4 linked regions of the Notamacropus eugenii genome follow. The protein of the gene in region 4 interacts with the protein of the main gene of each other region in a pairwise test. Links are inferred from orthologs where the notes say so. Each region holds a gene or a part of one and is shown on either strand. Other genes may lie near its edges. The genes, in order: AMPD2, NANOS2, PSMB10 and CCNDBP1.

Region 1 (7,237 bases), on a different chromosome or scaffold from region 4:
TTGAGCTCCCATCCATCACTGCAGAAGGATAACCAGGGCAGGACATCTGGACCAAAGGGGATCCTGCAGTTCTGTCACTCTGAATCAGCAGAACTACCCAGCTGGCCATCTCCATTCTACTATTCAGCCTGAAACCCAGGCTTGGGAGCTTGTAGAACCCAGATGAGGTGGACAGTCCAGAACTTTGCCCTGGACTAGACCACTTTGGAAACTCTGAAAGTTTGCAGGTCCCCGGTCTGTTCCTGAGATCCTGGAATAATAACACTCAATACCACAAAAAAGAAGCAACAAGACCAGCCAAGACCTTCCCTCCAGAAGTCTCAGGGAGGGAGTGGGGAGGGAGGGGGGAAATAGAGGGAGGGAGGGGAAAAAAATCTAATCTCAGGGTATTTACATACAGGAGTATATCCATAGGAAAGTGGCCACATCTACAAGCAAGGCCAAGGGAAAACTCAGCTTGGGCACAAACTTAAACCAGAATTCTTAGAAGGAATGAAAGGAATTTAAAAAGAAAAATGAAAAAATGTTTTTATAAATGAAATGAGAGTGCTTGAGGAAAAAATTAGAAAAGACATGAGAACTATGAGAAATGGAAGGGGAACAGGAATACACTGGGAGGGAGAAGGGAAAGGAAAGTTATCTCATATAGTTAAGGTGCACAAGTAAACATTTATACAAAAAAGGTTGGATAGACCAGGTGAAGGACTCAAGGTGCAGAATGAGATAAATTTTGTTTTTGGATATGGCTAATATGGACATTTATTTTGATTGACTCTATGTGTTTGTAATGGGGCTCATTTTTCTTTAGTTATTAAGTTGGGTTAGGTGCTGATTAATATATATATATGTGAAATTTTTAAAAAGGATGCTGTCTACCTCTAGAGAAACAACTGGTAAATAGAATATGTATAGAATGACTGATGGTAGCTAAGGGGAAGGGAAGAAAATGGAAAAAAAAGAAAAAGAGTTACATGACAACTTTATTAACTATTTAAAAGAAATAGTAAGTTGTATGTGATAGGTTTGCTGTTTCATGTACAACCTTCTTTTCATATTCTACTATGCTTGTTTTACTTCTTGGTTCAGAATAAAATAAAATTAAATTTAAAAAACAAGTTAATATAATAATGAGGACTTGAACCCAACCCTCCTGATTCACTACCCAGTGCTCTTGCCCCAGTGCCACCCTGCCCTGATGAGTTCCCAAATTAAGCACTGCTTACTTTAAGGCAGATGTGGGGACCCTGGAGCCCATGGCTATAAAAATTTGTCCTAAAGAGAAATTGAGCTAAGGGTAGGATTAGGGACAGAATTTGAGGGAATGGATGTTTGTTGAAAGTAACAACACACAGTTGGCCAGAACCTGAACAACTGTCAGTAGGGGCAGGTGAGAAGAGGGTGGAGTTAAAATCGATCTGGAAACAAATTAGTAACCCAACTGTGTTTGGGGGTGGGGGGAGGGTATTGCAAAGGTCTATGGTTGCTACAGAAACTGAAAAAGAGTGGTTTTTGTTAGTAGCAGTTATCATTACTGCCAGTGATAAGTGCGTCTAAAATTACAGGGTCACTGAGTCCATTTGTTCATTCCACAAAGGAAATTAATAGTGTGACATGGAAACCCAAAAAACTAATGCTTTTAGCTCCAAGGATGTTCTCAATCACCTAGGCTGTGAACAGAACAAGAGGTAATGGTTGTTTTGCAGAATGTGTGACCCTAGAGGAGTCAACAACCTTTCAGTGCACTCTCTAAGACTGTATGTAAGTTGTCCAGAAAGTGCTGACCTTGCATTGTAGAAGGTGTTTCCTCATCTGGAAGTTTCCTATAACCAATAAAGTAAGTCTAGACCCTATCTTATGCCTTTCCTGATCAGGCCATATTCAGAGTACTGTAGGAACTGAACATCCCACTAGGATGATGAGGGACCTTCAGTTCATGAAGGATCAATCTAAGGAACCGGGAATGTTTAACTTGGAGACAAGACCTTAGTATTAGGTAGACAGCTAATAGACATGATGTCAATCTTCAAGTATTTGAAAGGCTGGCTTGGCACTAATACACAGAATGAGGGGCCAAGTGAGATCTTCTAACAATTACAGATATAAAATACTGGAATGGGTACTTATGGAGGTATAATGGGTTTCCTTTCATGGAGAGTTTCAAGTAGAAGCCTGCCTCCTTCAAACAGAAGTGGGTAATCATTTAGAATGTTGTAGAAAGGATTCTTGTTGCATTATGGATCTGACTGTGGATTCTGAGGTCCGTTCCAACTCTTGGATTCAGTTATTCGGTGAAAAATTCAATGAATGCCTACTATGCATGTTTGGGGGATGTATGGGGTATTCCAGGAGGCCTGACAGCATCTCTGGGGTGAGGATTTGCTGAGTCCTTTTCAGGGGTGCTTATCTACCTTTTGGGTCTACCTGGTTCATACACTTCTCACCAGTTGCTCCAAGAAGCTGTAGCTTGCACAGTAGTCATACCCTGGTACACTGACTTGGCAGAAGGGCTAAACAAGGTTGAAGCTAACTGACAGACCTCAAAGGTACTGGAGTTAGCGGGATGGTGAAGATCCCCCTGCAGAATGAGGACAATGTTTCAACAGCTAGGAAGGTGGCTGAAGCAGCTCCTGTGGAGCAGTTAGAACGTGGTCAGCCCTCAAAGACTCCAGGGTCAGCCACGTTACCAGTCTTCTTGACTTTTGTCCTACCACTGGAGTAAGGCTGAGGACTTGGTTTAACTCTGCCTGCTCTCTATCCAGTTCACACACAGGTCAAGGTATCACCTCTCCAAAACAGAAGGACAAACAGCCACTATGCGCTCATCTGTGTGGTTTATTTAGAAGTCTGATAATCACTTCATCTGAATCCTCCCTGCAGCATCTTGGACAAATGACCTTTTTACTTAAAAAAAACCCTTTATTTATTTTCCCCCAATAGTATTTTATTTTTTCCTTACATGTAAAGATAGTTTTCATAGCTGTGTGACCTTGGGCAAGTCCCTTAACTCCGACTGCCTTGACTTCCCCCTCCCAAAAAACAATTCACTTTACAAGATTTTGAGTGGCAAGTTTTTTCTCCCTCTCCCCCCCTCCCTTCCCCAAGATGGCAAGCAACCTGGTGTAGGCTGTACATGTGTACCACCCTATCAGACATACTGCCGTATTCTCCACAAAGAGGAGAAAGAAGAGAACAGTCCGCTCCCACCCGCACTCACACCCGAGTCCTTTCCCTGGAAGACCGTGGGACTTCTACCTGACCCCGCCCAGGGCCCGGAAGTCTGCGCTGACAAGACGGCTGGGGTGGCGGCAGGACTGGCAAAACTGGCACCAGCCTCTGCCCCGGACCCTTCCCCAGCCGCAAAGGGGGCGTGCTGGGGGCTTCTGCTCCCCGGGGGGCGGCTCCGCTCATCCTCGCGGGCGGCCGGACCTGGGCGTGTCTAGGGAAGGCCCGGCTCGGGAGCGCGGGCCTCCGGGCCTCCGGGCCTCTGGCGGGGGGTGCCCGGCCCGCGCTTGCAGCCGGACGTGGCTCGGCACATCATCGGTCCTCCCCCTCCTTTCACTGAGGCTGGGGACGGACTCCCGAGAGTATCCCCCGAGAGCCGGCCCCGCCCGCTCCGGGTCCGAGAGCAGCCCACGTGACCCTAGTCCAGAGGGAGGCGGGCTGGGGCGGGGGCCGGAGCCGGGGCAGCTTTGGGGCTTTTTCGTTTTTGTTTTTGGCGGTTCTCCGCTTCTGCCCCGCCCCCAGCCCGGGTCGGAGTCCGCGGGCGGCGGAGGGAAAAGTCCGGTTCTCGGCCAGTTCCGGGGTAGGCCCAGGTCCCCAGCTCCGCGGGCAGCACGTGCTCCGCCCGCCCCCGCGATCCCCCGCTGTGGGCCCCGACCCCCGGGCAGCTCCTCCTCCCGCCTTCCCCGCCGGCATGGCAGCAGGTGAGTGTGGTAACGGCGGGGCCGGCGCGTGGGCCCGGGGTTAGCCCGGTTGGGTCCTGCCCCTGCCTCCCGCCGCCCCTGCCTCCTGCCTCTGCCCTCCGGGGGGGAGGGGGCGGGGGTGAGCTTGGGGCCGCCGCGCTCGCATCCCGCCTCCGCGCTTAGGTGGGACCCCGGGCCCCCCTCCATCGTGGAAGGGCGACCCAGGAAGCTCGCGGTCTTACGGGACTAACAAACACAAAGCATCTCAAAGGAAATAATTTTGGGGGTAATTTTTATTAAATTTAATTTTTGAAATATCGTTACCAACATTTTTTAAGAACCCAGAGTTCCCCGACACCGGGTTGTGAGGTTCGTGCAGCCGCAGCCTCGGGAGGAGGGGGCTGGCTCGGTTCCCAGGGCCGGGGGAGGGGGCGTCCCCTTCCCCCACGTGGTGAGCTCCAGGTCCGGGCGGGGAGGAGCCGGACTAGTGAAGGAGGCGGTGGTGGGGGGCTCCGGGCCCGAAGCACCGAGGGGCACTCAGCCCAGGCCGCCTCCCCTCCTCCGGGAAACCGAGCTGCATGAGGTGCCCCCCGCCCCCGGTCCTTCCCCGACGGGGCAGATGTCCCAGAATCCTCCTCCCCCACCCCCAAGGAAAACAAAATGAAAGTGAAACCCACCCACCCAAGGAAGGGCCCAGCTCCGGACGGACTTGTGCCCACGTGGCCAGGCATCGGCCCTCTGGTTACCCGCAGTGAGAACCGGCCCAGCCTCGCCGGGGAAGATCCGCGGATCCGACCCGACTGCGGCGAAGGGACCGAGTTCTAAGCACGTGGCCGAGGTCGGGGGGCTCCGGATGGCCCTGGCTTCCCCAGCTCCCCCCCCAGCCTCCCTCCTCTCCTTTTCCTCCCCCGGCTAGACGTCAGTTGCGCCATCCCAGGGGCTTGGGTCTGGGAGGGAGGGGGGCGCGCTGGCAGGGCGCTCTCGGGTTGCCTTGGCAACCGTAGAAATCCTGGCCTGGGCCTCTTCCGCCGCCGGGCCGGGCTGGGCTTAGCTTCCTGCCTCAGTCACTCCCCGTCGGGGGCGGGCGGAGGAGAGGAGAGGCGGGGCGGAGGAAGGGCTTGGATGTGGCGGAGCCGGGTCCCGTCTGCCAGCCGAGGCCACAGCCATGGCATCCTCCCCGGCGTCACCAGGGAAGCCCAAGGCCAAATACCCCTTTAAGAAGCGGGCCAGTCTGCAGGTAGCCAATGCCCCAGGTGAGTCTGGGGCCCCCAGGCCAGCCCCCGGCTCCTGGCCAGATACGCGGCTGGCCCACCCCACAGGGGGCATTCCCAGTGCCCAGTGGCGAGGGGGTGATGAGGGTGGGGGCCAAGGTGGTTCCGGGACAGTGGGAGGCCTTTAGAGAGCTATCCCTGGAGAAGGGAGAGGGACTTTTTTGTTTGCTGGTGCTGTGTTTGGTTCTGAACCCTGTCCTGCCGAGGAACCTTTCTTTGCACCGGTATTTACGTGTAGGAAGAACATCCTGGGATTTGTGCGTGTACACACGTGCATCTGTCTGGTTGTGGAAGTGTCCCAAACAGCGTGGAGTGTGTGAATGAATGGGATGTGCCCGTGTATTTGAGCTGCAAGGGCTTGCCACACTGGGAGGTGGTGAGGCCCTTGTGCTTTTTCTTCCTCATAGCCTACCTTTCCGTGAACCCCTGTGTCCCCCAGCTTCCATTCTGGATTCCAAGGGGACTGGAGGAGGATGTGTTGGTTGCATGTCCATCTGTTTTTAACTGTTCTGTCTCGGGGCGTGCCTGTAACGATGTCTCTGTGCTCATGGGCTTGATGACCCTTGGAACATCTGCCTGTGACCCTGGAAGAATGTTCCTGTATGTGAGGGTGGGATCAGTCACCCCTGAGGGTTCCCCTGAGTCTGTGAACATACATGTGTGAACATACATGTGTGTACATGTGAGCATGCTGGCTTTCAGCAGACAGCCTTTTTCTATCTTCTCTTGTTCCTGTTCCTGCCCCGGCAGGCACATTGCACCATTCAGGGAAGGTGACCAAGGGATTCCTGTGTCTGTGGCATTGCCGAGAGGTTCCTGGCTGGCCTCCCACTTTGGTGCCCACATTGCTGCATATAGTGGATACGTTTACTTATATTCACAAGTTTGCTGAGGATCCCCCTGTCCCCAACAAAGAGCTGCTTGCTCTTATCCCATGGTTGAATGTACTATCTTCAGGAATGTCCTGGTCCATATAATTGATGGTCATCATGGTGTTGACTGAGGGCCCTGCACCCCAAAGGGTGCTTTGAGGTGTTGAGGCCCAGCAGGAATGCTCAGATTGATGTCCTTGCCGTGGATGCGCTGACCCTCAGGGATCCTCTGCCAGGAATGACCTACCTCTAGGGATGCTCAGGACTGCACCACCATTGGGGTTATCTGGCTCCCTGGGGTGGGGGGCTTACATCTGCTCAGCCAGGAGGGGATGCTGCCTATGTTTGAGCCCCCACAGGTCACTAGGTTTGTGCCAACTCTGTGTGGTAGTAGGGTACAGCTTTTTCCCCACCCTGATATCTTTGGGAAACTCAGGTATAGACCTGTCAGCTTGCTGAGTTGGTAAGAAGTACAAAGCCTTGGGAAGAGGCCTGGTCAGGAAACCGACCTGAAGGGCAGACGGCTGTTGGGGGCTCCATCTTGCTGGGTCAAGAGGTGTGTCCAAGGAAGTCTTTTGCAGTGGCTTGGTTTCAGATCCAACCAGATTTTATCTGACTTAATTTCTCAGTGGAGAGAAGAGGCTGCCTGTGAGGTTTAAATAGGCAGGGTTGCCTAATTAATAGCAAACTCTCAGGATAGGGGCCAGGATTTCTGGAGACAGCTGGGTGTCCCAGAAGGCCAGGGTTGCTGTTTGCCTGTGGTACAGCTTGTATTCTATACAATCTCTTCTCCTTATTTTTTTTTTTCACCCTGGGGAAGAAACTTCAATAGCTCACGTAGACTCTCAGATTGCCAATTTGCATTCATTAGTAGTTACCATTTATAGTGCTTTACAAATAAGCTGTTTTATACCCACAACAGTTGCTATTATCACCCCCACTTTACGGATGGGGAAATGGAGGCAGGCTAAGTGATTTGCCCAGGGTCACATAGCTAGTAAGTCTCAGAGGTCGGATTTGAACTGGAGCGTTCCCGCCTCCAGGCCCAGCTCCCTACCTACTGTGCCACCTGACCGCCTTGAGGTTCTGGCAGACACTTGTTCAGATGGCTTCAGAGGTAATTCTTGTTCAAAGACAGGTTAGGCTGGATGACATTTAGTCTTCCCACTCTTGAGATTACGTGATTCTGTGA
Region 2 (6,568 bases), on a different chromosome or scaffold from region 4:
CCCTCCCCTTTTCCTCTCTCCCACTGGGGGCTCCCACTTCAGGGCTGCGAACACAGGGCGGCGGCTCCCGTGAGTCCCCGAGGCCGGATGCACTTCCCCGTCCCCCCACGGAAACAAACCCCCTCTGGGGTTCAATAAACTTCTCTCCGGGGCTGGGACCCCCTCTGATTCCCAAATGTTTGTTTCCTCGGGCGTGAAGAGCTTTCGAGTGGGAGGGGGAGAGAGACGGGGATGGAGAGGCGTCTAACGTGGGTCGGGTCCTAACTGGGAAAGCCAGCGGGAGATACAGGTCCGGAGATAAGGAGGCGGGGGTCCGAGAGAGGAGGGGCTATCCAAGGGATTAGCCCTAGAGAAGAGGGAAGCCCAGGTTGGAAGAGTAGGAGTAGGGGCGGGGCCCATGAGGTACAGGTTTGGTTCTCCCGCCAGGCATTCGAGGATCAAGGATGGGGGCTATGGGATTCGAATTGGGAGAAGCCGGGTCCCTCAGGTCTCCTGAGGCGAGGCCCATTTTGACTGAGCCAGGAGCAAGAACTGGGGGCGGGGGCCGGGACGGAGGCGGGGGGCCGGCTTGGGGCAGTAGGTGGGAGCGGTAACTGTTAACCAGGCCTGGGACAGGAAGATCCCAAATGTAGCTAGCAGGTCCACCCCTACCCCAATTCCAATAAATATCCACTGGCCTCAATCCCGCCAGCTCCAGTCACAGAGCACTCAGCACAGAAGCCAGCAATGGCCAGTGTTACTGCACTCTCTTCCCTTCTTCTAGTTCTAACCTTTAGTCTCCTTTCTGTTTCTCCATCCTTCCAACCTTCATCCCTGTCGTTCAGTTTCTTAGTGAGGTGGAAGGAGCTCTAAACTGAATAGGAGTTCTGTCTGTCTCCCTGTGTAACCTTGGGTCACCCTCTCTCCCTCTTTCAGCTTGAGTTTCCCCCTCTTGTCAAGGGGAGGGGTTTCCTGCCTCACCTCCCTTAGAGGCCTGATGAGACTAGATGGACAGGTGTGTGTATGGGGCGGGGGTGGAAGGGGGGAGGAGTACTGAACTTCCGCTGTCCAAATAGAATGTTTTTATCTGAGAAGGGGGGTTAAGGGAGGCCGAAAATGAAGGCCGAAAGTGAGCCTAGAAACTGGATGTGGATCTTTGGCCTGAAGTCAAAGATTTTCGGGTTCAGATACCGTGAGAGTGTTAGAGCCGGTGTTATGGGGCTTAGGTCAGAGAATGTGGTGTGGATGTCAGAGTCCAACTGGCCCCTTCATTTTACTGATGGCCAAACTGAAATCCAGAAGAGGGGTGCCTGTGGGGGAAGAAGGGGCGGGAGGGATGCCAGTGTATGGTAGTCTAAGGGGGAGAAGGGGGAGCAGTCCCCTTGAAAACTCATGAATGCAAGGGCGGCATAGAGCTAGACCTGGTTTTGTCTCCCTCAGCTTTAACCCTTCCAGAGAAAAATTTTCCCAGTTTCTCTCACTTCTTTTTCTGCCCCTCCGCCTGTGTGTGTGGTTTTTTTTCCTCTTTGTCCTCATTTGAGGGTCATAGAATTTAAACCATCAGGTCGTCCAATTCCTCTAGGACTCTTATTTCCATCTCTAGTTCTGTCCCTATGTCTATTTCTCCATATTTTTTCCATTAATCTAAACCTCTCTCCATCTAGTTCAATCCAATTATCATGAATTAAGTTTAAGGCAATGAGGAGAGAGCCAAAATAAGTAGTTCTTGTTTCAAGTAGCTTACATTTTTTCCCATCTCCATTATCTGCCTTTCCATCTCTGTCTTCCTCCATCAACTTCTTTCCATTTATAACTTTTTTTCTCTTGTTTTGCTCTGTCTTTTTCTATATCTCTGTAACCTCATCTTTCAAACTAGTACCTCTGGTGTAAGGACTTGCTGAGGCTGGTCATTTGCCTTTGGTGTACACCTGTCACCCAACTCTCCCCTGTGACTCCAAGAAGCTGTAGCATATGCAGTGACCCACACCCATACAACCCTCTCAACAGATGAGCTAAACCAGAGTGAGGGTAACCTAGGGATCTCAAACCCATCAGTAAGTTAGGGGAATGACTACCCCAAGTAGGTGAACACTTCCCCTGGTAGAATTGCAAACAGTTTGTTCCAACAACCACAAAAGAGGAGGAAGCAGGCACTTAGAACTAGGTCAGGCATCAAAGATGCCAAGGTTGTCCACTGCATCTAGAATCACCGCCATCCTGACTTTTGTCCTGCCACTGAACTTGATGACTCAGGAAGACAGGTCGACGACTTTGTGCAGCTCTGTGTCACTTAAATCCAATTCATGCACCAGTCAAGACATCACCCCGTGATGTCACTGGTCCTCTTCAAAAGATAAAGGACAAACATCTTCCAAACTACTGTGTCTCTTTTCTCTTCCCCTCTAAGACCACAGATTTAAAACTAGAGAGAACCTTAGACACCATCTCAACAAAATCCTTAATTTTACCAAAAAAAAAAAAAAAGCCTAGATTTGTCTTTTAATCTGTGTATCTATCACCTTCCATCCCTTTCTCTGTCTTCGTATCTTTTTTTTTTTACTGTCTTCATTTTTCTCTGAATTTCTCACCTTCTGTACTTTGGTCCTTTTGTCATATAAACCTAAACCTGTTAGGTTTTCCTGTCTCTTCCTCTGTATTGGCTTGATCTTCTCTCTGTCTCTCTGTCTCTGTCTCTCTGTCTCTGTCTCTCTCTGTCTCTCTCTGTCTCTGTCTCTCTCTCTCTCTCTCTCTCTCTCTCTGTTTCCACACCTATCTTTCTATTCTGACCTGTTTCCTCTCCAGACTTTTTTCTGACTTGTTCTTTTTCTTTCCTCCCTGTTTGCTCTCAGGGCTTCACACCAACAATCTTTGAAGATGGGGGTGTTTTCCCCTTTCTTGGTGCTAAGCTTAGTGCTTGTGGACTGGCTGACGAACTTTTCTTCCAGGTAAAACCCAGAGTTGGGTCATTGAGTAGAGCTGAGTATCGCCTGTAATGGGGCCTGAAGTATCAGAACCAGGGCACTTGGAGCCCAAGACTGATCCCCAACATGGGCTGAAACCCAGTATTTCTGTCTTGGAGCACACTATGCCAATAATGATCCCATCTCCTGGGCTCCCCAGCTTGCCCAAGCAGAGATTCACTGATCTAGGGCTGTCGAGCTGAAGAGAAAGGCAAGGAGATGGAGATGGGAGACTGAGAGGCAGCCTCTTTCTTGCCTGACACCAAAGAAGACTGAAACTGACATAGATGGGAAGAACCCAAAAGGGAGGGGGAAACCCAGAGAGGCACCCCCAACCCTTCTATCATGACTGCTTCTGATTGGCTTAGGGAGGGAGTCAGGTTCAAGTAAACAAAGCTAGTAAATTTCTCATCAATTTCATCTTGTTTTCTTCTCCAAAGGTGTGTTTATGCGAAGAGCAAAAGGGATGAGGAGGGGGAGTCCCTAGGCTCATCCTGTGCCTGCATCCTTCCCTAGTAGGAAAGCGGGGAGGGGAGGACAGTGAAACCTGCCACACAATTTTTTCTAATTCTCACCATGACTTCCCACCCGCCTATAATGAAAGGAAATCCCACAATCATAGACAAAAAGATTAGAATCAGACTCAGGGGACAGAAAAACAGTAGCACTCATAAAACAACATAATTAGCAGAATCATTGCTGTGTGGCTTTAGGACAGAACTTGTACCTCTCTGGCTCTGTTTTCCCCTTCTTGTAAAATAAGTCAGAGTGGAAGATCTCTGGTTTTGCCTTTCATTACATGGGCAAATCCCACCCAGTAAGAGCCCTGGCTACTCCTTCTGTGACTCTGGACAAGCCCTTTCTCTCCCTTTGGGACTCCTCTCCCTCCAGCTCTGGTATTCAGTGTTATGAGGACCCTTATCATAGTGCTATTCCAGTAGACTGGAATTCCAAAAGATTGAGTTTAGTATAACCCTATGATGTCACAGGAAAGAAATCCCAAGCCCAGAGAGGGCAAGTGATTTGCCCAAGGTCACACAGCAAACTGGTTGTGCACCAGGAACTGAAACTCAGGCTCTCTCCCTCTCACCAGGTGTTCCCTTGCTGGGTCTCAGTGGGGGGTAGGGGTGGGGGCAGAGGAAGAGAGTGGGCCCTTTAAATTGAAAGCTCCTCCTTTGCCTTTGGAGGTCTCCAGCCACCCTATAAAAGGCACCCCCCTACCCTGCTTCCAACTCCACACTGCTCCAGACAGCAACGACCCTCCTGCCCCCACCCCTCTACCCCCTCAACAGTCTGCTGGCCACATCAGGCACCCATGCAGCTGCCGGCCCCTTTTGATATGTGGAAAGACTATTTGAATCTGAACAAGATCCTATGGGAGATAATCTCGGACCAAGGGGGTTCTGGGGGTGGGGAGAGGTCCAGCCAGGAGGTGGAGGCTGGGCAGGTGAGGCAGGAGGCAGCTGGGGGCCCAGGGGCTCCTATATCTCTCTGCAACTTCTGCAAACACAACGGGGAGTCCCGCCATGTGTACACCTCTCACCTGCTGAAGACTCCAGAGGGTGTGGTTGTCTGTCCCATCCTTCGCCATTACGTCTGCCCACTGTGTGGAGCCACTGGGGGCCTGGCCCACACCCTCAAGTACTGCCCTCTCAATGGTGGCCAGCAGTCCCTGTACCGACGGAGTGGACGAAACTCAGCCGGAAGAAAGGTCAAGCGGTGAGGAAAGATCTGGGCCTCCTCTTCTGGACCCTTCCAGGACCACCCCTCCAGGACTTCCCTGGGCCTTGCCCCATCCCAGCAATTTCTCTCTCCCTGGGGCTGGTTCTCCCAACCTCAGGGAATGCTCAGCTCCTGACACCTCCCAACTCCAAGTTGACCTTATCCCAGGGATATCTCAGCCCCTGGACATTCCCAATTCCCTGGGGGCTGGTCCCCTCTTCTCTCTCCAAGACCTTCCCTTAGACTCATCCTACCTTAGGGAGTTCTGAGTCCCTGAAACCCTGCCCCCATTCCCAGTTCAGTATGTCCTGGAGAATCTGCAGTCCTGGAACTCCCCCATTCCTGGATGACCCTGATCACCGGCCCCCTTGTCACACCCAACTAATCCCACACCCAGGATTTCTCAGTTCCTGGAATCCTCTACTCCCACTTTGTCTTAGCCCTGGGAAACCCTCCCCTCTGGATCTCCCCAACCCTTTCCCACTATCCCTGCTAACCCCCAAATTCCCTAGACATTAAGGAATCCTGAGGAGCCACAGACCTCTCAGCGTGAAGCATCCATGAGACCGAGACTGTACCAGCTTCTGTCTCCACCTGCCTGCACAGCCTGCCTTCGACATTTCCTTTGGCTACTGTCTCCGCCTTGAATGAAGACCCTCTCTACAGACCTCAGCACCCCAGCACTCAGCACATGCCCTTGAAGATTACCAGATGATGCCTCTCCTGTTGGGGCCCTTGCATAACACTTCTGAGTCTCAGGGGGTGACCAGCTCCTGGAGATGATGTTGGGGGGTCCCCAAATGCCTGGGTGTGCTCACTGCTGTCTCCCCACACACACACACCCTGGTCTAGCTCCAGAAGAATAGCTTGGCATAGGACTGGGGCTGGGGGATTGTAGGGGGGAAGAGAAAGACTTTCTTATATTGTTCTCGTGCATCTTTTTCTATATACAGTTGTTGGCTCCTGCAGCCCTACCTGCCTCCCTACCTGGGCCCCAGAGCACTCAGTGGGCAGTTCTGTCCCCCCACCCTGAAAAGCCCCCTCATTACCCAAGGGGAAAGTGGACTAGCTCTCTACAGTTTTCTGAAGCCTAGAAGGAGGAAGGCCTGATCAATGTAACTGGGGTGGGAATGAGAGGGGCTGCTGAGGATTGGAAGTTCTTCAATAATGTTTTTTAGGGGATGGAGGGAAGAAGCCAAAATAAGCAGATTTTATGTTGTTGATTTTTGTTCAGAGCTGGAATAAATGACCAGAATTCTTGAAATTTCTTCTCATTGTGTTTTTCTGGAAGGGTTAAGGAGAAAGTAAAACCATCTTCCCCTAGAACCAGGGTCACCCCAAGTCACACCAATCTGTCCTCCCTCTTCAGTGACTTTTGCCTTCCCCCTCCCCCAAATCCCTGTCTCCTCATCTTGGGTCTTCATTTGTCCACACTCAGCACAGGCTCCCAGGCCCCAGACTTCCTTCTCTACAATCAAGCTTGGACCCCATCCCTCAGGGACCTTGCCTGACTCCCTGAATCTCAGACTTGAAAGGCCCCCGTGGTAACTGGCTCATGTGTCTCTGGTAAAGAATTCCCACTCCAATATATCAGATGGTCACCAAGCTTTTACTTGGGGACTTCAGGGAGGGGCTGCCCATCTAGCTCTGGTTAAATATGAATATTAGGGGGGGTATTTATGACCACTAAACCAAAATATGCCTCGCTGCAATGAGTTTGCCGTTCTTGGGGAGGAATGAGGCAGAGTGAGCCTTTGTTGGTTATGTTGCAGTACAGTTCTTCTAGGGGAAAAGTTCTCCAACTTTTGGGACTTACCACCCTTTCACATTCTTAAAAATTATCGAGGGTCCCTCCTGAAGAGCCTTTGATTCTGACGGTTATATCTACAAATGGTGACTGTATTACA
Region 3 (7,750 bases), on a different chromosome or scaffold from region 4:
CTATCGAACAAAAGCTCCCAACAACTCCCACCCAGACTCCACCCCCTCCAATGACTCCCATCCAGACCCTGCCCCCTCCAAGGACTCCCGCTTGGCTTCGACCCCCAGAAACAGAAAAGGTCACAGACCACAGATGAGGGGCCAGTAGTCTGCTCCAGATAGCCAGAAGGGCAGATGGCACCACATCCCTCCAAAGCTTGGCTCTGCTCCTGACTTTGGGCCCCTTCTGCCACAGACCCTGCCTGGGGTTGAGAGACATCAGATGACATGAATAAAAACCTCTTCTTTGAAGGCCAGCTCTGGAGTGACTAGGGAGGAAAAAGAGTCTGACTCTGAAAGTGGGAGGAGGAGAACGATAATAAACATTTATTAAGCATGTATTGTGTGCAGAGCACTGTGATAGGCAACGGGGGATGAGGAAGAGAGAGAAGGTTTAGGTGGGAAAGGATTCCTGTGGTTTTTATAGTCATATAGGAAGATAAGACAGGTATATCTATGAAACAATATTACATGATAAGTGTATTGACATATGTAAAACTAAGTGATATCCAGCTTCTAACCTCACCACATGATTGGAAATGCATGCTATAAAAGTTGTCACAATGTTCAATGTCAAGATCTAATGTTTTCTTTTTTTGTAGCCCTCATCCTTCATCAGTTTTCTGCAGCCTTCTACACTGAAGCCCTCCATCCCTGTGATTCTGAACCACCAATTTCATAAGAATAAACCTCCACAACCTCAATTATCTGCACCCTCATTCCCATCCTCACTCAGAACTACCAAAACCTAAACATTGACCAAGTGAGGCTTGAGCTGGGACCTTTTGTTGTCAGTCAGTGAGAGCCAGAGTGATTTGGGTTTAAGGCACAGTCATGTAGCTCCATTTGAATCCCGATAGACTTTATCAAAGCCTGGTTTTCTAGTGCTGTATTTTAAGAAATCTGAAACTACACAGATGAAACTACATGGGGCAAAAGAATTAATTGTCCCAGTTTTGGTTTTCCTCTCCCAGATTGATTTTTTTGTTTGTTTGTTTGAGTAGGTAAAAGAGGCCATTCTTTGCCTCATTTCTTACCTAGCCTTAATCACTGAATGGGTGTTGCCTCAGACAAACTGAGACCTGGGAAAGACTGGAGCTTAAAAGGGCCAAGGCCTCACAGTGCATCCAGGGCCATCTTCAGTTATCCTGATCTATATCTGGCCACTGGACTCAGAGGGCTCCAGAGGAGAAAGTGAGGCTGGTAACTTTGCACAGCCCTGCCTCACTTAAATCCAATTCACTTGCATGTCCTGGCATCACTTTCCTGATGTCATTGGTCCTCTTCAAGAATGAAGGAAAAACAACAGTCTCATTCACTTCAACTCTCCCCTCCCAGTGTCCTATTCTAGAGCTGCTTGCCCTTTCCATCATGCTCTCTATGGAATTTTTGTCCATGATTCACAAACTTCCTTTCATCTTAAACTTTTTCTCTTGCCATCTTCTAGCTCTCCCTGAGACCTGACTCCTTCTGTATGTCCCTGCATCTCTGACCACCTTTTCAGTACTGATTTCACTCTCTCTCTTACCCCCAGACTCACTGGTCATGGTAAAGAATCAAAATATTCCTTGCTCCCAAATGCCACTTCCAGATTTTCTATCACAATCACTCAAGGAACCTCTTCATCCTTGAAGTTTGTTCAATCAAAATGTATTACCCAATCAAGATTCTGGTAGCCATTATCTATCAATCCCCAAGACATTCTCCCTCCTTTCTAAATGAGTTCAGTACCTGGTTCATGGCCTCCCTGCTTTATTTCTAGGACACTTCATCATACATTTTTAAAATTCAATTTCATTTTATTTTCAGTTCTGAATTCTCTCTCCCACTCTCTCATTCATTGAGAAACCAAGAAAAATAAAACTCATTACAAATGTACATAATCATGCAAAACTAATTCTTGCATTAACTATGTCCAAGATTTTAAAAAGGAAGGAAAAGAACATATGTTTCCATCTGCATTCAGAGTCCACCAGCTCTCAGACTGGAAGTGGATAGCATGTTTAATCATGAGTCCTTTGGTATCATGGTTGATCAGTTACTAAGCCTTTCACAGTTTACGTTCTTTACACTAGTGCTGTTACTGTGTAAATTGTTCTGGTTCTCATTTCATTTTTTAAAGTAATTATATATTTTTCAAAATACAACACCTATTCTTATTAAAAATAATAGAAAGCATAGGAATAAATGGAGTCTTTTTTGCAATAATAAGTACCTATCTAAAATGAAAAGCAAGCATTATCTGTAATGGGGATAAGCTAGAAGTCTTTCTGATGAGATCAGGGGTAAGGCAAGGATGTCCCCAGGAATGAATATAATTCAATATTGTATCAGAATTACTAGCTATAGCTACCAAATAAGAAAAGGAAATGGAAGGACTAAAAACAGACAATGAGGAAATAAAGCTGTAACTCCTTGCAGATGATCATGACGCTATATTTAGAGAATCAACTAAAAAACTAGTTGAAACAATTAACAACTTTAGCAAAGTTGCAGAATATAAAATAAACCCACATAAATTATTAGCATGTCTATATGTTATTAATAAAACCAAGCAGAAGGAGACAGAACAATGCCACTTAGAATAACTATAGACACTGTAGTTATACTTGGGAGCCTACCTGCCAATACAGCGTTGTACATGAGCACAATTACAAAACACTTTTTACACAAATGAAGACAAATATAAACAATTAGAAAATATTCATTGTTTATGGGTGGATTGACCCAATATAATAAAAATGACAATTCTACCTAAATTAATTTACCTATCCAGTGCCAAGCCAAACTACCAAAGAATTGTTGTATAGAGCAAGGAAAAACAGTAACTAAATTAATCAGGAAGAACAAAAGGTAAGAATAACCAGGGCATCAGTGAAAAAAATGTGAAGGATGGGGGCCTAGCAGTACCAGATTCAAACTGTACTACAAAGTGGTTTTCATATTGGAGGTGGGGGCAGTTTTCTTCACAGGTTGGAAGCTGTAGGGACTCCCATTAGCCATTTAAGAGATCTCACCTTCTCTGGAATTCGCCTTGATCTTCTGAGTTTCCCCTGCCAAGTCATGTCTCCCTGATGTATGCCACACTACAGCGTCATCCTTCAGGAAACCACACGAGCCTACTTTGGGCAGGGGTGTCACAAAGGTAATGGTTCTTCTAAAACTGAATAAGCAACGGTTGTCTGATCTATCAGTTAACCTGGGAGAAAGAGGTTTCCATTAAGTGGTGCCACAGGAAGCCAGACCACAAAGGGGCAAAGTCAGCTAGTAAAGGCAACAAGTATAGACATCTTTTTCTAGCACTTAGCTGAGACAGGTGGATGAGAGTTAGGCCAGTGGTTTGAGGGGATAATAAAGCTAAGTAAAGGTTTTTTTCTCAAGCTAGTGGAGATGTGGGCATGTCCATAGTGGTGTGGGGGAAGTCAGTAATAAAGAGAGAGTGAAGATGAGAGTGAGAGAAGAGGGAGAGGAGGGGAGGAGGCAGGGAGAGAGAGGCAGAGAGGCAGAGGGAGAGGGAGAGAGAGAGAGAGATGGAAAGAGAGAGGGACGGGGAGAGAGAGAGAGAGAGGGACAGGGAGAGAGAGAGAGAAAGGGAGAGAGAGAGGGAGAGGGAGAGGGAGAGATGGAGAGAGGGGTAAGCCACTTTTCCTTAGTGATTTTTACTCTCTCAAGTGGTTTGAGGACATAGAAGATCAGTCAGGTGTCACAGTGGACAGGCACTGGACTAGGCTTCAGGAAGACCTGAGTTCAAATGTCCCCTTGGATAACAGCTGTGTGACTCTAGGCAAGTCTTTTAACTTCAGTTTCCTCCCCTATAAATGGGAATAATAATGGCACCTACCTCTCCTTGTAAACCTTAAAATTATATATATACACACACACACACACACACACACACACACACACACCCATACCCATACCTATGTATATATGTGTGTACACATGTACATATATATGGATATACGCAAGTTATTTTAATTATCACCAGGATGGATCCGAAGGAAGCATCCCAGTTTGAACAATCTGAGACCACTGATCTCCCCAGTGACGTCTCCTGAGGAGGATGTAACTAACAGTCACTGACTGTGCTCTCTGTCCCTGTGGGAACATACACTGTTTCCATCCTGACTCCTAGATTCAGCTTCATTGTACTTAGGACCAATATCAATGCTTGATGGAGAAGGGGGCAGAGAAGGGGAAGGGGAATGAACATTTGGACAGGATAAGAATCTTAGACCGTCTGAGGCAGAAGGGACCTCAGAGATCAGTTTTAACCCCTCATTTTCAGATAAGGAGAGAGGCAAGATTAGTTCTCCTAAGGCCACCCTGTGAGTCATTAGCATAACCAATGAAGGGCAGAGCTACCTCCCAGGGTCACCAATCGCAGCAGGGGCTCCTCTGTCCCCTCTCTCGAAAAGTCCTCAGTAATGGTGGCAGGGGTAAATAGGAAGCAGGGAGCGCCTGTGTTTACTGTTTCTTCACTAGGGATGGAATGTGGGGAAAGGGAAAGGGTGGGGAGGGGAGGATGCCCCAGAAGAGCTCAGGCAGCCTCCCTGCTTCCCACCTTCCTCCACCCCCCTACCCCAATCCCCGCCCCTCCTCCTGCAGTAGCTAAGGTGAAAGTGAAAGCTGAAGTTACAAGAAAAGGAAGCGTCCAAATCAGCCACACAAAGTCCCCTCGAGGTCCTGCAGGAGCCCCCACCCCAGCACCTCCCTGCCCCCTCCTGACCTCCCCAGCCTGTCTAGCCTCTTTGGCACACCTGCGGAGTGCCTCACGTCCACCCAGCTCAGACCATGCTGCACTCTGCCTGTGAGCCCCAGGGGGGCTTCTCCTTCGAAAACTGCCAGAGGTAAGAGGAAGCCCGGCTGACACGAGGGGCCTGGCCCAGGATTGGGGAGCGGAGAGGTTAGGCTGTCCCTGATCCCCCTCTCTGAAGACTTTGAAGTTCTGGGAATGGAAAAGAAAAGTGAAACTAGCTAAATGGGGGAGGGGATGGGGGAACTCTTGAGGGGCCTGATGAAATTCGTAGATGAAAGGTCTGGGAGCAGAGGGAAGGAGGAAAGCCATGAAGAATCCTAAACTGGACAGAAAGGGCATATGTTCAAGGAGCTAGAAAGACCCCTCTGGTGTGGTTCCTGGCTCCAGAGTGTCTTTTCTTCCTTTTCCCACACCCCAGAAATGCATTTCTGGAATCTTCCCTAAAAGGACTCCATGTTCCCCATGCCCGTAAAACTGGTACCACCATCGCTGGCCTCGTGTTTCAGGTGAGGGGGCGGGGGGAGATGGGTCGGGAATGAGAGGGACAGATCAGCTGGTGGGGGGCGGTGGGTGAGGGGATTGATTTTGGGGGAAGTGTAGAGATGGGGCTAGTAGGGTACTGAGGTCTGGAACTAAGCCCTGACCTCTCTTCTAGGAGGGAGTCATCCTTGGGTCAGACACCCGGGCCACCGACGATTCGGTTGTGGTCGATAAGAACTGTGAAAAAATCCACTTCATCGCCCCCAACATCTAGTGAGTCACCTTTCCTATCTCACCTCCCTGCCCAACATCTCCCCCATATATCCCCAGCTACCTCCTCCTTAGTACACAGGAATTAGAGCTGGAGGGAGCCATCATTAGGCCAACCCTCTTATTCTACTCAGGAAACTGAGTGCACAGGGGAGGAAATGAGCTATTGGCAGAACTGATTAAAAAACAAACAAACAAATAAACAAGACCTCTGGTTCCAAACTCAATGCTTTCTCCATAATTCCTACTAGTTGACCTTTTGCTCCAGCCTTCACCCCCCAGACCACCCCAACCCTAGTCTAGCTTGACCCTCTCCTCTACAAGTCTCTTTCTCTAATGCTGACTCTCCCCTCAGCTGCTGTGGGGCAGGAGTGGCAGCAGATGCAGAGATGACCACACAGATAATGGCGTCCAACATGGAACTACATGCTTTGTCCACCGGCCGGAAACCACGGGTGGCCACTGTCTCACGAATGCTCCGCCAGATGCTCTTCCGGTGCAGTGGGAGCTGGGGAGGGGAGGTTAAAAAGAATTTGAGAGATCTGGGAAGGAGGCAGATGGAGTGCATCCTTGGGATGGGGACAAGAAGATAAATGGGGTGGGAGGCAAGAGCTGGAGGGAGATGGGGCTGGCTTGGGGACCCTGGGCGTGGAGAGAGGAAATGATGAGATTTCTCCCTACAGCTACCAGGGCCATATTGGGGCCTCCCTCATTGTAGGGGGAGTGGATATCACAGGCCCCCATCTCTACAGCGTACATCCCCATGGCTCTTACAGCCATCTCCTTTTCACTGCTATGGGTGAGTCCCTGACCCCTAATCAGACAGACGTCCTCCCACCCCCAGACTCACAGAGTCACAGGATGTTGGTTAGAAAACACCCAGAGGCCACCTAGTCCATATCCTGATTTTATAGTGAGAAAACTGAGGCTCAGAGACCTTGGGAAATTGGCCCAAGGTCACATAAAAAGTAAAAAGAAAAGTCAAGACAAATCCAGGGCCTCCAACTTCAACTCTTCACTTTTCTTCCTTAGACAGGACACCAATGATTGTTGGGAAGGGTTTCTTTCCATTCATTCTAAATCTGCTCCAATGTAACTTCCATGGCTAGGTAGCACAATGAAGACAGTCATTAGACTTGGAGTCAGGAATCCTTGTCTCACTAGTTGGGTGACCTAGGCAAGTGACTTGCCCAGCCTCACCTGGCCTTGGTTTCCTCATCTATAGAGATGGGTTAATTAATAGCACCTTATTTCACAGGGTTAATGTGAGGATCCAAGTGAGATACTGCGTGCTTTCTGAACTTTAGTGCTACATAAATACTAGCTATTATTAATAATTAATATTATTACTAATTATTAATAGCCCAGACCTCTGAGACCAAATGTCCCCAAGGATATTCACCCACTCCACCCTTCACCCCCCTTCCAATAAATAGCCCTCCCAGTCCTGTGTGTATGTGGCAGCAGGAGATGTGTCTTAAGGAATTGTGGAAAGGGGAGAAAGCTGAGGGAGGTTGCCTAGGACCTAACAATGCTCACTACTGCTGTCCTCCCTCACCTTCCAAAAGGCTCTGGACAGGGACCGGCCATTTCTGTGCTAGAGGATCGCTTCAAACCAAATATGACGGTGAGAGCCCCCTTCCCCCATCCTGCCCCTGACCCACCTTTCTCGTCCTCCCCCCATCTCAGCTTCTTCCTGTCTTCTCATTCCTCTCTACCCATCGTTGTGCTGAAACCAGCTTCCTTTCCGGTGGGGAACAGTTTGGTGCCATCTGCACTATGTGTGCAGAATGGTTTTCTTATTGCAAGCCCATCAAAGACAAGTCCCTGGGCCTGGCTGAGAACCTGGGGGCTGCGCTGAGCTCAGGACCCCGTCTACCGCCTCCCCTTTTCTGTAAATGAGCTGAGAGGTAGACTCCTCCTCGGCCTGGAAATGAGAATGCCTTAGGGAGCTAATGAGTGGGAAAGCACAGAACAGCTTAGAAATGTGAAGAGAAGGCAGCCTGCTCCTAAGGTGTAAAACACCGCCAACCTTAAAGTGTTTGTGTGTGTTCCCCATTAGATTGGAGAGAGTGGGAGAACTGTAGATGGACTATAGGGCTTGGGTGGGGGGAGTTCATAGGGACTGTTTGTTTCCAGTAGCAGAGCTAGGTTCATTGGGGCAAGGCTGAGATTATGACCAGATGCTCTTAAGGCCGCCTG
Region 4 (7,615 bases):
TATATTTTCTCATTTCTTCATGCTTGCTCATTACAATTACAGAGTATTCAGTTTCTTTGTTGTTGTTGATTCCATCTACATTGTTGTAATCCAATGTTTCTCGAAGTATGTGAATTTTGTTGTGAATTTGTTGTTGTAAATTTTGCTAGGTGTGCCCCAGAATTATTGATGTTATGATATTACAGATAGTGGATAAAGAAAATAAATTATCTTCTTTAACATAAATTTTACTTATCACACACAGGAATATTCACAAAAGCAAAAAAAACACCTCATCTATTACACAAGTGTACTAATCTCAAAACATGTCAGATTTTGAACTCACAAAGAGCTCGGCAAACATGGGGTGTTCTTGAAGAGAAACTATCTGTGTACAGGTCTCCCACCCTTCCTGTAGCACTGCCACCACGCAATTCTGTGTGTTCTGAGATTCCTCCTGGTCAAACAATCCTGCCCACCTCTACCCCCCCTCCTTGCTGGCCAAGAAAAACAACTTTGCCATGAGCACTGGGGCAAGGGAAAGGAGGATGAGCATTCATTGTGCATCTGCTATGTGCCAGGCACTATGCTGTGATCTTCACAAATATGTCATTTGATCCTTGCAACAACCCTTTGAGTTAGGTGGTATTATAATACCCATTTTATAGTTGAGGAAGCCAAGGCAGACAGAAGTTAAGTGACCTGCCCAGGGTCACATAGCTAGTTAAGTGCCTGAGGTAGGATCTGAACTCAGGTCTTCTGACAGTACACTTTAATTTTCTCTAAATTGCTTCCTTATCTAGGCCAGTAGCACTACCAATGAAAAGCAGTTGCTACATATTCACGATCTTTTTTTAAGGGAAAAAAAGTTAAGAAATAAAATTTACTGATATTTTAAAATTGAAAAGTTACAAAAGTTAAATTTTATTTGGAAATCTGTGGGATATAAGTTACATTGGGATAATAATGGTTGTGCTAAAAACCTGCACCTATCTATGATATATAATTATTTTTACTATTATTTAAAATAATATCTTATTACTATCTTTTGTTTTTTAAAAATTTTGGATGTATTCTACCATACAAGTACAAAATACACCTCTCTTATAACAAGGGGAAATAGTTGAGGCCAAAAAAAAAAACTAAACCCCAAAGGCCAAATACAAAAACTCAAACCCAGTACAGGGACTACCTCCAACAATGTATGCAAATTTTCTGTTCTTCCTTTAAAGTACTCCTGCAGAGGGAGGTATGTTTCACTATCTGTTCTCTGGGACTATTATTGACTTTTTAGTTACTCAAAGTTTGGCTTCCTTTTAGAAGCACTATTATTATTAAAGAAGTTATGCATCTATAAAGAAAGTCTTTGAAGATAAATACTCTCCAGGGAGGAAAGGATTCACCTCAGATAGGGAATGACTGGTTCCTTAGTCCCATTATCTCTTCCTCTTTTCTGTATTCTCTTTATGGGGCATATTGAACCAGAAAAGGCATTTTAGTGGTTCTTAGATAATAGGAGCCACTAGATATTTGAACCTTAAAGGTAATAATGAAGGTTGCTGAAGCAAACACCAACCAACACATAAAGCTTATACAGAAATATTATCCAGAAAGCAGACGGAACTCTTCCTCCTCTTAGTTTCTGTACTTTCCTTTTCCATGCCTAAGCTCATCCATTACCTAAGAATGAAGAGAAAATAAAAACATTTAGATGTACAAATGTTACCTTAATGTGACCCAGGGGACTGAGAGACCAAGGGGCATTACAGTGAAATGGAAAATTTAAGTCACAACGCTATTTGGAGATAGATGTGTGTACATGGGAAATATGTAAAGTAATTCATTACATTTTTACTCGTTAAAGTATTATTTCATTGAATGACATCAAAAACAAGCCTAGAAGTTCTCAGGCCTGAAGCTATCCTTGACCCTTTTTTCTTCCTCAGTTCACATAGCCAGTCAGTTGCTTTTCAGTCATATCTGACTCTTTGTGACCCCCATTTGGGGTTTTCTTTTTTTGTTGTTTGTTTGTTTATTAATTTTTAGTTTTCAACATTCATTTCCACATGATTTTGAGTTCCAAATTTTCTCTCAATCTCTTCCCTCCCCCCACCTCAAATGCTATGCATTCTGATTACCCCTTCCCCCAGTCTGCCCTCCCTTTTATCATCCCCCTTCCTGTCGACTTTCCAGCTGGTCTTGGTCTGGAGATTTGTTTTTCTCTGTCATTTTGTGGGTTCCAAAGCTCTAGAATTTGTTTAAAGTCATTTTTTTTAAAACAGGTATTTGGAGGGCTTTGTAGGAATAGTTCAAGCAAGTCCCTGCTTTTACTCCGCCATCTTGGCTTCATCCCTCCATCTGGGGTTTTCTTGGCAAAGATACTGGAGTAGTTTGCCATTTCCTTTTCCAGCTCATTTGACAGATAAGGAAACTGAGGCAAACAAGTCTAAGTGACTTGTCACACAGCTAATAAGTGTCTGAGCCCAGATTTGACCGCAGGAAGATGAGTCTTCCTGAATCCATGCCTGGTGCCACTGTACCACCTAGTTGCCCCAATCAGTTAAATCTTATTTCATAAATCCATCTATTTCTGTCTACTCATACAATCTGTACCCATATTACCTCTTAGACTAGTAAAAGTAGTCTCTAATTATTCTTCCTGCCTCATTCCACCCCACCCCCATCTCTTCTACAATCCAACCTCTACATACAGCTGCCATATTGATATTCATAGAACAGATTAGATCATATTTTCCTGCCTCCCTCTAGTTAATAAAGTCTTCATCTTTAGCCTGGCATTTAAAATCCTCCACAATCTGACTCCCACCTTTTTTCCATCTTATTTCATATTTCATATTACTCCCCTTAAGTATTTTCTGTTCTGGTGAAATTGGCCTTCTATACCAGAGGTGGGAAACCAGTGGCCTTGAGGCCAGATTCTGTTTTCAAAGGTCCGCACTCGAGGACCTAGAGGGCCACATGTGGCTTTGAGGCCACAGGTTCCCTACTCCTGCTACACATAACATTCTATCTCCTAACTGAGCTCTTGCATAACTTATAATAGCTGACATTTTCATAGTAAATGGCATCTATCCTCTCATTTGACCCTCATAACAACCTTGCGTGAGAGGTTCTGTTTACTATCCACATTTTACAAATGAGAAAACTAGAGCTAAGAGGGGTTAAGTGGATTGCTCAGGGTCCGAAATGGTGCCTATCTGAGGAGGGATTTAAACCCTTGGGGTCCACCACTACCTTCAAGGCCACGTGGCCTGGCCTCCCTTTCACCTCCACCTTGTACAGTCCCTACCTGCCTCCCTGGTGCCCTCTCCTAAATGAGGTCTCTCCCCTTGGCAAACTCCTGGAGGGCAAGAATGCTGCCTCCCTATGCATGTCCAACCTGGCATGGTGCCGGGCACGTGGTGGGCACGTAACCTCTCAGTCCCAGGGCACGTTCCCTGCTGCTGTCAGAATGAAGATCCTGCGGGTTTGGTTGCCTTGGTGAGAATTCAGATGATGAACGTGTGATGATGAAAACAGAATTTGGTGTGAAAGGATTTTCTAGTTCACAGAGAAAAGCAGTTTTCTTATTGGCGAAGTGACCAACCCTGATCCTCTCTGCTGACGGAGCGCTCGGGCCTGGTGAGTGTCTGGGCCGGCACCAGGCCTGCGGCACGTGCGGGGCAGCCCGTCCAGTCCTCGGTGACACTCCCGGGAGATAAGCCGGACTCTGCCCGGGGCCGTTCGCCAGACCGCTGGTAATCCTTGTTTCCTTTTCCAGATCTTTACAGTGATCATACCCCTCTCCGCCTACCTGTGCTGGACGCTGCTGCTGCGCTGCCAGGGCCACACCTTCTCCACTCACCTGCGGGGCAGATACCTCAAGGCCGTGCCCGGCCACGCGCTCGCGGGGCTCTTCTACCTCTGCCACCTGGGCTGCTGCGTCCTGCTCTGGAAGGCCTACGGCACCACGGCGCTCGTCTTCTCCCCCACGTACGGCTGGCTGGCGCTGCTGGCCCCCATCCTCGTTCGTCTGGCCTGGACCCTGAGCCCCAGGGAGCTCAGAGCCTTCGCCGTGGAGCTGCGAAGCCACCAGGGCCCCGACAGGCAGTGACCCAAAGGCCGCCGCGAGCGGCCGAGCGTGGGCCTGCCCGGCCGCGGCCCTCCGGAGGCCGACCGGGCGGCGGGTCCCGCTGCGGCTGGGGCGGCCGGCGGGCTGGTTCCCTCAGAGCGAGTCTCCAAACGTGGCCCCGATTAATGCTGTGCTTGCTGATTCTGCTGCTTACCCCATGGAAGCAAAGCCATGAACTGAACTGTGGAATGGAAATGCCGCACCGGGAGGGCGCCTTCCGGGGGAGGCCGGGAGCGGGATCGGGGGTGCGGGGCTCGGACCCGAGGCCCTTCCGGCCGCGTCGGGCCCACCCCGGCGCCCGCCCCACGTGGCTTGTAGATGGTTTAATTGAACTTCCGGTTTTCTAGGCTCTCCGCCTCCACTGGAGGGACTGTTTAAAACTAATCAAATAAATGAATAAGCTGTTTGCGGTCCAGAGCTCTATCTCGGTCGAGGGGCGGAGACAAGGGGGAGGGAGAACACCCATTGGTCACCGGGCACCTCAGACACGCCCACCGTCCGGTAGCGGGAGGCGGAGCCGGCTCCTCAGTCTGTTGCCGGAAGCGGGCAGAGAGCGCCGGAAGTTGAGGTCTAGGGCTTCCGTTCCGGAAGTTGCAGGCGGTTTACGGGAGCGCCGACTGAGCGGCTGCTGGTGCTGTGAAGCTCGGCGCGATGGATCTCGGGGCGGCGGGACCGAGCCCGGAGGAGCCCGTGGCGCAGCTGCGGAGGCTCATCGGGGTGCTGCGCTCCTTACTGCCGCGGGTGCGGGGTGAGGGCCTGGGCTGCGGCGGGAGGGGCCCGGGGCGGGGGCCGGGGCCGGGGCCGGAGTCCGGGCCCCTTCTTTCCCTTCTCTCACGAGCCGCCCCGTCCCTCCGCAGACGGCGAGGCCCGGAAGACCGCGGAGGCGTTCGATGCGCACAGATTTTGGGACCAGCTCGGTGAGTGAGGCCCGCCTCTGGCGTTTGGGAGGGTCCGCAGCTCCCTCCTGGGCGCCGGGACACCGCGGCCCGGGAGACGGGAGGGCAACCGGAGCCGGGGGCGGCGGCCCGGGAGGGTGGGGATATGGGCCGCGGCCCAGCCCGGACCCGTGCCCCTTCTCGGCGCCCGCCGCCGCCTCCCCCATCGAGCCTTTCCTCCCCCAGGCCAGAGGGCCTTGGCCGTGTCCCAGGAAGCCACGAAGCTGAGCCTGGCCTTCGCGAGACCGCCCCTGCCTTCCCCCGAGGTGGGTTTGCCCCGGGCCCGTGGGCCGCCCCTTTTCTCTTCCCCTGCTTTTGTCTAGAACCAAAGGCAGCTGAGCCCCCAGGTTTCTACCGAGCCAGGTACCCCAGGTGGGGTAAGGTTATCCGCAAGCTTCCCCTGCTGTTCGTTTCCATGAAAGGAAGTCTGTGCATAGACTGTAGTCTATAAGTATGTATGTATGCATATACATATACACACGTACACATGGACACACACATCAAGATTCGATATATCTGTTTTTTTCCACTTTCACCTCACCTGCAGTGATGAACTTGTCCAAGTCTGCCCCTTTCATGCCAGCAGTAAGTTGAAATGATGGATAGGAAAGTGCCTGAGTTCCCTGGATAAAAAGCAGACCATAAATACAGGATAATGATAGTGGGGTTTTTCCCCCCAAAAATTTCCTCTTTCTAAAATTTTTATAGCGTACTTGGAAAATCCTAGAGACATCATGAATTAACAGTGTAACATCATTTTATGTAGATATCTATATAGCAAATATGGATATTCATTTCAGTGTTTTTCTTCACTCCAGGGTGAAAAGTAAAAGTAGGATTTAGTTTCCAGTCGATTTTAATGCTACGTCTCCATATAGTTTACAGTGTTATGTGTGCGTGCCTGTTCTCTAATCATAATTTGTTTGGATGTATAAGCTTCTAGAAGTCTGGAACGTTTTTAACTTAAATCCCTTTATTTATAGGAACTTAACAAAATAGACTCGAAAATTGTGTTCTGAAATCACAACGTGTTAAGCATATGGGGAAGAGGAGAAAGAAATGTGTTTTAGTCTGATATTTTTTTATTGCTTAATATGAACTGAGTGCTAAAGTGAAAGAATTATAGCACTGAATTAATTTTGTGCGTATAGAATTAAGAGCAGGAGATCACTGAAAGACTCACTGTAGGAAAATAGACGTGAGGAGTATTAGATCTCTTCTAGTAACCCTCTGGTTTAAGTTGGGATTCCCCAAAAGTAGGCTGTCCAAAATTTTGGTGTGTGTGATTCAGAGTAGGTTCTCAGCATCCTGAAACAGTGTTAACTCTTTCTCTTTCATACAATAGATATTTTGTTGACTGGGGTGTATGGGTGTTCAGTATCCAAACCCTGGATAGTATTGAGTAGGTGATCAGTAAATGCTTGATAGATAATGATGAAGTTCTCTAGGGCAGTTGCTTTTCATCATGTCACTCTTAATTTCCTCATTTTGGAATGGATCTGTGTTTTTTGTAGGACTGCAGGAAACTCTGTGAAAGTATCCAGAATGCTGTGTTGGCAGAGGTTTCTACATACTACTGGCTTCCCAAAGATCAAGGTAACCTGCTTTGCACACGTAGATACTTAAGTATTCAAGATATAATTTTTGAATGAGTGAGTGAAAGCTCTAGCAGGATTCTTGTGCCGGATCTCTTTTGGGCAGAACACTATTACCTTTCTAGTCAGAAAACTACAAATTAATGGGATTGATGAGCAGTAGGAAGGACAAGGCAGGTCATTTGTGAAGTGTAGGTACTGCCTGCTACCCTGCAGCGTATAGACTATCTGCTCAAAGAAAACGATTTCTCCCTGAAAGACCTCTAGGATGCTTAAAATTTGGCTTTGGTTGCAGGCATCACATTACGAAAAATGGTTCGAGATACCATTGTGGATGTAGTGGAGGGGATGGCCCAGCTTGCAGAGGTGATCGTCAGAGCTCGACCTCAATGGTAATGACCTAGTTCTAGTTGTTACTTTGTGGGACTCATAGTGCCTGGGAAGGAAGGAAAACCCCTGTGAATTTTCTTTTGGGCATCAGGATGGGTCAGTCAGGAAGGATACTTTTTAGGAGATAGGGATTTGAGTTGTTGATATCCTCATTGTTTTTGCTCTTTAGCATATCACACGAGTATCTAATATCAACTGGCAGTATCTGGGAAACATGTGACCAGGTGTCTCACCTCCCAAAAGGTGAGTGAGGTAGTGGGAGGTGTGGTGATGATTGTATTCAGCTATATGAGAGGGAATGGGTGCTTTTCACATCTCACTTCCAGTTTTGTAGCATTCATAATGTAATCCAGATTTAACAAGTAAGAGACTTTTAAAAAATTAGCTGTCACTGCTGAAAGTTAGAAAAAGGAGATTTGATGTTACTGTCTTCTCAATTATTATTCCTTTCTCAATGCCCCAAATTACCCTCTCCCTTCTGTGCAAATTCCATTAGGGAATTTTAATATTTGTTGAATATTTGGGGTACATGTACCTAGTTTTACTCATAGTGTTAGGAACACTGCTGAAATAGTCATTAGATA

The links.
Region 1: the proteins of CCNDBP1 (region 4) and AMPD2 interact in binary tests that used the Homo sapiens proteins (3 or more experiments, as listed by UniProt). The two-hybrid records come from large-scale screens. The link is inferred for Notamacropus eugenii from reciprocal best matches to the Homo sapiens genes CCNDBP1 and AMPD2.
Region 2: the proteins of CCNDBP1 (region 4) and NANOS2 interact in binary tests that used the Homo sapiens proteins (3 or more experiments, as listed by UniProt). The two-hybrid records come from large-scale screens. The link is inferred for Notamacropus eugenii from reciprocal best matches to the Homo sapiens genes CCNDBP1 and NANOS2.
Region 3: the proteins of CCNDBP1 (region 4) and PSMB10 interact in binary tests that used the Homo sapiens proteins (3 or more experiments, as listed by UniProt). The two-hybrid records come from large-scale screens. The link is inferred for Notamacropus eugenii from reciprocal best matches to the Homo sapiens genes CCNDBP1 and PSMB10.

The regions. Positions count from the first base shown.
Region 1 is NC_092873.1:287,838,149-287,845,385, forward strand, and holds the start of AMPD2 (AMP deaminase 2), read left to right. Parts: upstream 1-3,966; 5' UTR 3,967-5,067; coding exon 5,068-5,155; intron 5,156-7,237. UniProt on the Homo sapiens protein: AMP deaminase plays a critical role in energy metabolism. Catalyzes the deamination of AMP to IMP and plays an important role in the purine nucleotide cycle.
Region 2 is NC_092876.1:27,901,553-27,908,120, reverse strand, and holds NANOS2 (nanos homolog 2), read left to right. Parts: upstream 1-4,178; 5' UTR 4,179-4,254; coding exon 4,255-4,658; intron 4,659-5,173; coding exon 5,174-5,180; 3' UTR 5,181-5,925; downstream 5,926-6,568. UniProt on the Homo sapiens protein: Plays a key role in the sexual differentiation of germ cells by promoting the male fate but suppressing the female fate. Represses the female fate pathways by suppressing meiosis, which in turn results in the promotion of the male fate.
Region 3 is NC_092872.1:696,332,685-696,340,434, reverse strand, and holds the start of PSMB10 (proteasome subunit beta type-10), read left to right. Parts: upstream 1-4,451; 5' UTR 4,452-4,833; coding exon 4,834-4,889; intron 4,890-5,216; coding exon 5,217-5,304; intron 5,305-5,453; coding exon 5,454-5,551; intron 5,552-5,903; coding exon 5,904-6,044; intron 6,045-6,231; coding exon 6,232-6,347; intron 6,348-7,116; coding exon 7,117-7,175; intron 7,176-7,750. Other genes in the region: LCAT (phosphatidylcholine-sterol acyltransferase), read left to right, coding at 1-148. UniProt on the Homo sapiens protein: The proteasome is a multicatalytic proteinase complex which is characterized by its ability to cleave peptides with Arg, Phe, Tyr, Leu, and Glu adjacent to the leaving group at neutral or slightly basic pH.
Region 4 is NC_092878.1:29,700,010-29,707,624, forward strand, and holds the start of CCNDBP1 (cyclin-D1-binding protein 1), read left to right. Parts: upstream 1-4,503; coding exon 4,504-4,852; coding exon of another isoform or gene 4,853-4,859; intron 4,860-4,968; coding exon 4,969-5,028; intron 5,029-5,232; coding exon 5,233-5,312; intron 5,313-6,560; coding exon 6,561-6,642; intron 6,643-6,936; coding exon 6,937-7,033; intron 7,034-7,200; coding exon 7,201-7,274; intron 7,275-7,615. Other genes in the region: TMEM62 (transmembrane protein 62), read left to right, coding at 3,761-4,093. UniProt on the Homo sapiens protein: May negatively regulate cell cycle progression. May act at least in part via inhibition of the cyclin-D1/CDK4 complex, thereby preventing phosphorylation of RB1 and blocking E2F-dependent transcription.